Linked DNA regions of Arabidopsis thaliana. The protein of the gene in region 1 interacts with the protein of each later gene in a biochemical or structural test. Each region holds a gene or a part of one and is shown on either strand. Other genes may lie near its edges.

Region 1 (4,196 bases):
AATAGCAACAATAATGGGTTAGGGACAACAACAGCAACAACTACTGCTCCTAGGCCTGAAGATCTTTGCTTTCAGAGCCCTGAGATTAGCTCAGACCTTCACTTGCTAGATGTTCTATCAAACCCAAGTAAGTAACAAAGATACCTTTTTAGTTCACACGTAACTGAAAAAAACAGAGACATTGGCTTTGAAGAAATAGTCAAGTAAGTTGTGTCTGTCTCAGATAATTTCTTGTGATTTGTGTTTGTAGGGGATGAGCATCTTGTTGGAAAGATGGGACTGGCGGAAAGTTACAACCTTTATGATCATGTTGAAGATTATGGCATGTCAGGCTGATTGAATACAAGCTGAGGAAACTTCTAATTATCAGAGAGATCAATGAAATGGATTTGGTAGTCAGTCATAAGCAGTATTAGACTTTTGTTTTTCTTAAATTGTTTCTTTCAGGGCTTATTAAAGAAACAAGTAGTTTATCTTATTAATCATTTTCAGAGAAACATTTACATGGATTGTTGAATCGTCTTGTGATGCTTGCTTTGATAATTTCTGCATTCAGAACGATTTTTACATCCTTAAATGAATTATACTGTAAGAAATAAAAAAATTCCAAGAGAAAAACATTTCAATTCAAACCTCTCCAGAGTTGAAAACATGCAAGTCTAACAAAGTTTTGTAATGGCCTTTCTCTATTTCTTCCTCATTCACATTGTGTAAGACCAGAGTCTGTATAACCAAATCCTCCCAATCAATTTCAGATCCTTTCTTCCTTTTCTTCTTGCTATGTTCAAGCTCCAAAGACAACGCACCTTCACTAACATTGTCAGAAGGATGTTGTATTGCATTAATCCGCAACTTAGCTGCCTTAATCTTTTCTCTTCGTCTTTCAACTGCAACGCAACCCTTTATGTAAGAAGGAGGCAAAGCTTCAAGCCCTACATCTTTCTCCAACAAGTCTTTGAGCAAAAGCCTTTTACTCAATTCCGATTTCCCTTTCCACCAATTTTCAGTTGACACCATTCCAAAAACAGATCTCCTTTGCCACATACTCTGACTACTTCCCTGACTTCTTTTCGCAAGAGTCCCACCACAAACTCGATCCTCAAATTCATTATACTTTGTAGACAACTGATTCTCCGATATATTATCATCATAGTTACATAAACTAAGCTGACGTTCACCTTCTACATCAAAATACCGAGACATAGTATCTTGACGAGCATCATCATCATAACAATACATAGATTCTTTGCTTAGGCAGTCCATCACTAAATCCTCCACACAAAATCCATCAGTTCTAACTAATTCTTTCCCAGTCCCTTGTTTTCTCTTTTTCATGGACTTGGCTTCCATTAAAGCAAACAAAGTTCCTGAATGTTTCAAAACATTCTTCACAGTAACATCTTTCGCCCAAGGCAAACCCACCTCTTCAGCAACCTTCACAAGCTTCTCAGATAACTCTTTATACCGCGTTTTACAAGTAGTCAACGAAACACTAGCATCTTTCGCCAAATCATCAATCTTTACCTTCACACCATTCACTTGAACAACAAACGCCAAAACAGCCACAACCAAAGGCATTGGTCTCCTCCCCGTCGACAAAAACCATTTCAACGCACAATTCATCAGGAAAGTCCCTTGCTTTATTATCTTCTCCTTCTTATCCCTATCAACATCAGTCAATCTCGGTGAATTAGTAACCGTCTTGGTAAACAAACCCACAAGATCAAACTCTCGCAATTCCAAATCTAGATGATCCACAACACGCTTAATCATAGGCCCTAACTGATGCAAATCACATCCAACTTCATAAGCAACCTCTTCCATAGACAAAACACCTTTCCCTTCTTCTCTTACCACAGCATAACAACAAGCTCCAATCAAAATAGGGAACCACTCACCTTGTCCAAATTCCCCATCAGTAAGCTTACTAATCATACTCTTAATCACTTCAGTTTTATTACCAAGATTCAATCTTTCTGTTGTCTCCTCAATTAAATTGTTGGCTTCATAGATCTTCTTGTCTTTATAATCAAGAACAGAGCCTCTACCAATGGTGCCTACTCGTATATATGTACCTTGAGGTCCTCTTATGCCGCCAAGTTGTGCCTCATAATTATCATACTCTCGTAATGTCCCACATCCACCGCAATACGAATTCCCCGTGTCTTCGTCGCGTTCAAAGTTGCTTCCATTGCATCTCTTGCAACGCATGATTCAAACCGAAAGCTTCACACTTTAAATTACGGGTTTTTTTTTCCGACAAGCAGAAGAATGAGATTCGGATCGCCGGCGAATCGAGAAGTACTGGAGAGAGAAATCAAAACTAATTAAGATTTGACCTTTCCTTAAAAATAAGCTAGGTTTTTATATTGTCGAGATGAAAACGGCATGATGTTAATATGAATAAAACAAAAACGCCAGGGTGTTTTATTTAGGACGCCACACAGTTTGTATTATTTTCTCTCTTTTGGCTTTTTGTTGTCTCCTCCACCATAGTGCCGTCTTTTATCTCTTTACCGGTAAGAGAAGCCGGTTTCAGATTTGATCAATTCGAAGAATTGTGGCTTTCGTTCGTTGGGTGAATCCTTGCTTCGTCCTTTTTGATAGATTGCTACTGTGTTTTCGAGGAAGTTGTGTGGAGATAGTTAGAGAGATTTATGAGATTTCAAGAGGGGTTATTATAACGCACGCATGGTGTTCGACGGAAAGCCGCAGAGAAGTTTTGTTGCTATCCGATTTGACTGAGACTCAAAGTTTGAAAATTGTTACTTGGGTATTGAGAAAGCTAACCTTGGGCAGGTTCGTATATGAGTTGGGAGTAAAACGACGGTGATACATTTGACTGTTTTTCAACTAAACTAGCTTTGAAATGGTGAGCTTGTCTGTTTCGAATAAGAGATACACTTACATACACGAAAGTGGAAGTAAGTCAACTAGAGAAGCCATTGATATTCACCATGTGATTATCAACGGAAGCAGCGGAACTGGTTATGCCCGTCGTTGGGGGCTTGGTTTCTTCCTTGTGTTTCTGGCGAGTTCTATGTACTTTTTGCTTGGAAAGGTAATTATGCTCTTAGAGAAAATTTGGTTGTTGCCGTTTGTTATTTTGATGTGAATCTGCTTGACATTTGAGTGATTCTGATGCATTGCTTAGAACAAGTGTTGCTAGTACATATCATGAGAAAGGCATACCATTTTGTTTCTTAGGATTGGTGATGGAGTATAGTTTGATATTTTCATTCTGTTGTGAGCATTATGTTAATACATGACAAGGTTTGTATAAAAGCACTTTTCTTTTTTTGTGTTACTTTACAAGCTTGTTTTGTTGTTGTTCCATTTGTTTCTTCTTCACTTAAGTTGAAAGGGATAATTCACATGAAACAGGACAATCCAGCTAGAACTCTTTCTTGGGGCTGCCTTTTAAGTGGTTTCTTGGTTATGCTACATAGTCGCAAGTTCGTCAAGAAAGGTGAGATCCTGGTTCATCCTGATACACGCTTTACAGGCTTACCAAATGATATCAGCTTCACGTTTTAACTAATTCTAGCTTTTCTTTGATTTCTTCAGAATCTGTGATAATCTTGCCAACCTTCGGGATCCAACTTGAAACTCAATATTTAAGGTATGCTTTATCCATTTAGTTAGTATTCTGTTGTCTGCACTCCATGATGGCTTAATGCTTTGAACTACTCCGTATTAGTGGTCTCTAAGATAGGTGGTAATGGTTGAATTTGTTGTAATTATCATGAACCATTATGATCTATGCTTTTAAGTTTTACCAATCATACAAGTACCTACTTTTTTGTGCATGCTTCTGCTTTGCAGTGGAAAAACTGTCTCCAGGTTTATCCCTATTGACAAGATTTTGAAGCCTGTGTTGGTCGAATGTGTCACTCCCATTACGTGTTACTGGAGTCTCTCTTTATTTCTTCGTGGTGAAGAACAACTTACATTGGTGTTTAAGGTAATGGCACCAGTTTGTTTCATTACATTGTGAGAGAAAAACTTCTGCTGACAACTTTGAGAAACAATCTAGAGTTACCAATTATTCAATTCGGGAATATTACTTATAGCAATTGATTTTGAGTTCAATTTCCTCTTTGGACAGGAACTGCGTCCTCCATTGAAGATGTTGGTTCCCATTTGGAAAGCATTGTGTGCTGCTATCGGTACAGACCACCAAAGTGAAACGATAG
Region 2 (5,066 bases), on another chromosome or scaffold:
GATTTGAAATGTTGCTTCAACGTCTAGCTGAGAATGATCCCAACAGATATGGAACACCTCCTGCTAAAAAAGAAGCTGTCGAGGCTTTGGCTACTGTGAAAATCGAAGAGACTCTGCAATGTTCGGTTTGTTTAGATGATTTTGAGATTGGAACTGAGGCAAAGCTGATGCCCTGTACGCACAAGTTTCATAGTGACTGCTTGTTACCATGGCTTGAGCTTCACAGTTCATGCCCGGTTTGCAGATATCAGTTACCTGCAGATGAAGCCAAGACTGATTCAGTAACAACAACGAGCGATAACAATGGAAGCAGTAGTGCTTCTGCTACAACCAGCCATGGAGCTGAGAACAGCGATGGAAACCGGCGCCAAGAAGAAGAAGAAGAAGAAGAAGAGGAGGAGGAGGAGGAGAACGAGAACAATGACGGAAGCGGATTCTCGATCCCGTGGCCGTTTAGCACCTTGTTCTCCTCGTCGCAAGATAGCAATGCACCAACGGATTCTAGTTAAGACATGTTCCCTGAGCAACATAAGCTTTTTGGTGTGATCATGAAATCTCGGTTCTACCTAAATCTGATCTTTTGTCTGTACATAAGTTTCTCAGATTTGGTTGAATGCTACATCTTTGGAAAACAAATATCTTTCAGTTTGTGTTTTTTTAATTGTTTTTGAGCAAATCTTTTGCCGGATTCTGTAAGTCGCTTGTGTGTTTTTTGTTGTCAACCAAAGCCACTTTTGCAACTTAGTTTGTTAAATTAATGCCTTAATGGTAAAATAACAAGATTGGTGGCTGTAGTACGAATTGTGTTGGTAATAAATTATAAATTTAAACATAAAAAGTAATTTAACATTCATCACCTTTGTTGTATGAAATGGAATTGTATAATATTGTATGCCTAATTACTTAGACCGACTCGTTTAATATGTCGTCATCCAAAACAAAATATGATGTCTTTTACTAAACTTAATGAAGTGATGCTTTTTCCTTGTGTTAATCCATGATTGCATTACCATGTAATCTTTTGTTTACGCGTAAACATTAATTAGAATTTATAAAAGCTAGAGTTCACATGTGTAAAATGCGACCAAAGTTACCAACTTTATGCGCTATTAACGAACCTTTTGACATTAACGAACTTAACTTTGATATAGTATATATACTAATATATTAACGTTTCACCAAATCTCCTTGTATATATATAAGTATTGTAGTATCAACTTATTACATTATCTCTCAGATTAGTCATAATCCAAAAGAAGAAGTAATGAATCGTCAGGTTTTATCCCTAATCACTTTGATTATTCTCTTGGTCTCCGCGTACAACACGACTATGGGCCGAACTCTGCCGAGTAAGTGACCGTCTTTGATCATACAAATACAATCACGCATAAACAAAACTCATATTCAGTTCTTAATCTCTTTTTTTATTATTATTATAAATTAAGGGGAAGGAAATGGAGCACAACAATTTGATAATCTAAAAGCTGGTGTCAGACGAAGTGAATCGGCACGTACTCGTCAGAAAGGACCCGGACACTGATGAGTGATGATCTCTAACAAGTTTTAGTTGGCACCTTCATGCAATAATTGATAATCTACTGCTTTGTAATAAGTCCGTCGTTGTGGCGATTCATAGTCTCTACTCGATTCATATTTGTGAACGTGTCTTGAGTTATAGTCTTACATATAGATCCAACAAAAAAACGTATGCTAACACATTCTGTAATAGAACACGTGGCAGACAAAGAGTGGACGGTTCCCTAAAATTCCAGTAAAGACCGTAACATTAAAATCTAATAAGCTGAATTCCCATAATTACCCTCATCCGACAAAGAGAGGCAAGGGTAGTTTAGGAAAGTATATAGAGGTAATAACGTGTCCTTAAGCTCCACAGATCCAAAGCGCAGATCACAAATCTCATCCCCAGAGAGAGAACCCAGAGAGCGATATTGAAAATCAAAACTCTCTCCTTTATATATAATCCCAATTTACAAATCTCTTTCCCTCTCTAAAAATTTCTTATCTTTGTATAAAAAGCCTTCTCCTTTTTCAAATCATTCACCTTCCTTTCGCCTTTTCGGGGGAATTTCTTCCAATCTGTTGGGTTTACGAAACCCTAGATTTCGAAATTCCGGATTGCTAACTAGCGAAAGGTCTGATTTTGTTTCGTACCCTTTGTTCCTAATGGATTCAATTCCACGGATTTTATCTGAATTGAGTTTCTTCGTAGTTGCTTGTTACGAATTGGATCTCATGTTCTGAAGTTGTGTGTTTCATAGCTTTTCGTTGTTTGATTGTGAAACAATGTTTCTAGATTTCAATTATCAAAACTGGTTTTTAGATAACCAGATTTGGTCAATGAAATTGTAAAGCTTGAAAACAATTTTGTTTCGTGGATGCTTGTTGGTTTGGATCGACATGAGTTTCTGTTTTGCCCTATTTAAGACGAGATTTATAGCTGATGTGTGTGTGTTTACGTTGATTCTTATGTTAGAGAATGGCTGATCAAGGAACGGAAGGGAGCCAGCCAGTTGACCTTACTAAACATCCTTCAGGGATTGTTCCTACTCTTCAGTGAGTTCTCTCTTTTGTGTCTCTGTTTTAAGATTCTGAGTTTGTGCTTTTGTGAATCACAAGATCTTACCTTTTTCTTTTTTGGTTTGTTTCAGAAATATTGTCTCAACAGTGAACTTAGACTGCAAGCTTGATCTTAAAGCCATAGCTTTGCAAGCTAGGAATGCTGAATATAACCCCAAGGTTTTGCTTTCTTTGTGATATTCGTGTTTTAGTAATCGATCATTTTGTTTGGTCTCCACCACTTTGGTTTGTATTTTCGGATTTGGTTTTAATCTGTGTTTTATGTTCCAGCGTTTCGCTGCTGTAATCATGAGGATCAGAGAGCCAAAGACCACAGCGTTAATTTTTGCTTCTGGGAAAATGGTATGTTTTCCTTTGTCACTTTTTCTCTTATGGCCTAATCTTCCATGTCCTTGTTTTGACGTGGCATCTATGCTGTCCAATATTAGGTGTGTACCGGAGCTAAAAGTGAACATCTTTCAAAGCTTGCTGCAAGAAAGGTAAACTAGCTCATCTCAATACTGTCTGATGTTCTTCTTCTAGCATCACTGTAGTTAGAAACTTGTTACAGCTCTAGTAGGTATTTGTTCTCTGTTATATTAAAGAATTCCTTTTTGTTGTTCAGTATGCTCGGATTGTTCAAAAGCTTGGCTTTCCTGCAAAGTTCAAGGTACTCATATGTCTCTCTCTGGTCCTGATCCAGCACACACTGTGTTATTCATTTTTATCTCAATCAACAATTCGTGTGTATTTTTATCGGAAGGAAAAATTACGTATAAAGTCTAGTAATAAAATTGCTGATTACATTTTGCAGGATTTTAAGATACAGAACATTGTAGGCTCATGTGATGTCAAATTCCCCATTAGGCTTGAAGGTCTTGCATACTCTCATAGTGCTTTCTCAAGTGTAAGTGATCTCAAGCATTGTGATCATATATACTTGTAACATGGGTGTTAATCGGTCTGATGATTCATACCTCTCTCATCATTGATGCCAGTACGAGCCTGAGCTATTTCCAGGATTGATATATAGGATGAAACTTCCAAAGATTGTACTGCTTATTTTTGTGTCAGGAAAGATTGTTATAACTGGAGCCAAGGTAATAATTGAACTTCTCTCAAATGATTAAAATTGTTTCCATGAAAATGCTTCTGTCATCTTATGAAATCCCGAATCAGATGAGAGAAGAGACTTATACCGCATTTGAGAATATCTACCCAGTTCTTAGAGAATTCAGGAAGGTCCAGCAATAATAGTATGTAAGTTCAACTTTCTTTATCTCCATTTACATTTTATACCCCTTAATCAATCAACAGTTTGATTATGACTATTTCGATTCGAAAGCAGAGCCTACCATATTGAAGGCAAAAACCATGTTCACGTTTGGATTGCCATGAACTAGAGATCTCGGGTGTTGGCAGGCGCTTGGTGGGGTTATATTCCTTGGACAAGAACTTGAAATGATTCAGATTCAAAACCAGAAATTGTAAATAGAGAATGGAGATGCCAATAAATCTCTTTTCTTTTTGTTCTAAAAATGTCTTCCAAGTAATCTTGTTTCATGTTCTGTTTGTTTCAGTGAACAATACCCAATCATTAAAGAGTTACTTAGTTCTTTGCTAACTGTTCTGTAATAAGACACCAAGTCTGTTTGCCCTTTAATATACTCTTTCAAGCAATTTGCCGCTCTGGTTTGTCAAATGTTTGGATCATAAGCTTTCATCTTTCAGTAGATAATAATCTTCGTACACATTAAGTGAGATAGTCCTATTATAACATGTTTTCGTTATCTTGAAATTCATTAAAGTTAATCGGTAGTGTTACATTAGACGAATTGATAACAAAGACATGCGATTACATTAGTCCTAGTGTAAACAGTAAACTACAGATAGTACGGCTAGTAATTCACAGTCGATTTGATTGCATCCAATATCTGCATCAAGCAAGAACACATGATATGTTAGAAACTGCGTTTTGGGTCGGAATAGAGGAATGATAAGAGAAGAGGAACTTGCCTTGTTCTTGGTGGGCATGTAGAATGGTTCAAACACAAGAGGAAATGGAGTATCCAGACCACAAACTCTGCTTACTGGAGCTTCTAACTGCATTTTAAATGACAGTTAAGAAACGGAGAACCAATAAAGAGTAGTCACTTGTAACGGTGATGATTTGAGCTTTCTTTTTACTAACCTTCAAAAAGCAACGTTCCAGAATTGTTGCAGAGATCTCTGCTCCAAAACCTCCTGTTACAGGAGCTTCATGGCTTATCTGCAACCCCAAGCACAAGCAAAAGCAATCTATAAGATCGACCAGACAAATCAAAATCCGAAGTTGTCAATCAAGATTGCTTAAATCTTACAAGAAGTCTGCCAGTCTTTTTAACTGAAGCCTCAACGGTTTCTTTGTCCCAAGGAAGCAGTGTCTTGAGATCTATCAGTTCACATGATATTCCTTCCTGCATCAACTCAAGACCTTAGTTAATATTACT

Evidence for each region. The genes of interacting proteins can lie anywhere in the genome.
Region 2: the proteins of AT4G35540 (region 1) and TBP2 form a complex in vitro, tested with the Arabidopsis thaliana proteins (one study listed by BioGRID).

What each region holds. Positions count from the first base shown.
Region 1 is NC_003075.7:16,871,954-16,876,149, reverse strand, and holds AT4G35540 (POLLEN-EXPRESSED TRANSCRIPTION FACTOR 2), read right to left. Parts: upstream 2,316-4,196; 5' UTR 2,212-2,315; coding exon 628-2,211; 3' UTR 552-627; downstream 1-551. Other genes in the region: WOX13 (WUSCHEL related homeobox 13), read left to right, coding at 1-127, 251-336; AT4G35530 (phosphatidylinositolglycan-like protein), read left to right, coding at 2,870-3,061, 3,385-3,469, 3,568-3,622, 3,826-3,964, 4,109-4,196. UniProt on the Arabidopsis thaliana protein: Plant-specific TFIIB-related protein that plays important roles in pollen germination and embryogenesis, possibly by regulating gene expression through interaction with TBP2 and the subunits of RNA polymerases. Binds double-stranded DNA in vitro.
Region 2 is NC_003070.9:20,724,915-20,729,980, reverse strand, and holds TBP2 (TATA binding protein 2), read left to right. Parts: upstream 1-1,889; 5' UTR 1,890-2,153; intron 2,154-2,494; 5' UTR 2,495-2,497; coding exon 2,498-2,574; intron 2,575-2,669; coding exon 2,670-2,757; intron 2,758-2,868; coding exon 2,869-2,940; intron 2,941-3,026; coding exon 3,027-3,077; intron 3,078-3,202; coding exon 3,203-3,247; intron 3,248-3,391; coding exon 3,392-3,484; intron 3,485-3,575; coding exon 3,576-3,677; coding exon of another isoform or gene 3,678-3,707; exon of another isoform or gene 3,708-3,756; coding exon 3,757-3,831; 3' UTR 3,832-3,837; exon of another isoform or gene 3,838-3,925; 3' UTR 3,926-4,475; downstream 4,476-5,066. Other genes in the region: AT1G55530 (RING/U-box superfamily protein), read left to right, coding at 1-509; BCDH BETA1 (branched-chain alpha-keto acid decarboxylase E1 beta subunit), read right to left, coding at 4,476-4,511, 4,594-4,680, 4,769-4,846, 4,938-5,033. UniProt on the Arabidopsis thaliana protein: General transcription factor (GTF) that functions at the core of the DNA-binding multiprotein factor TFIID.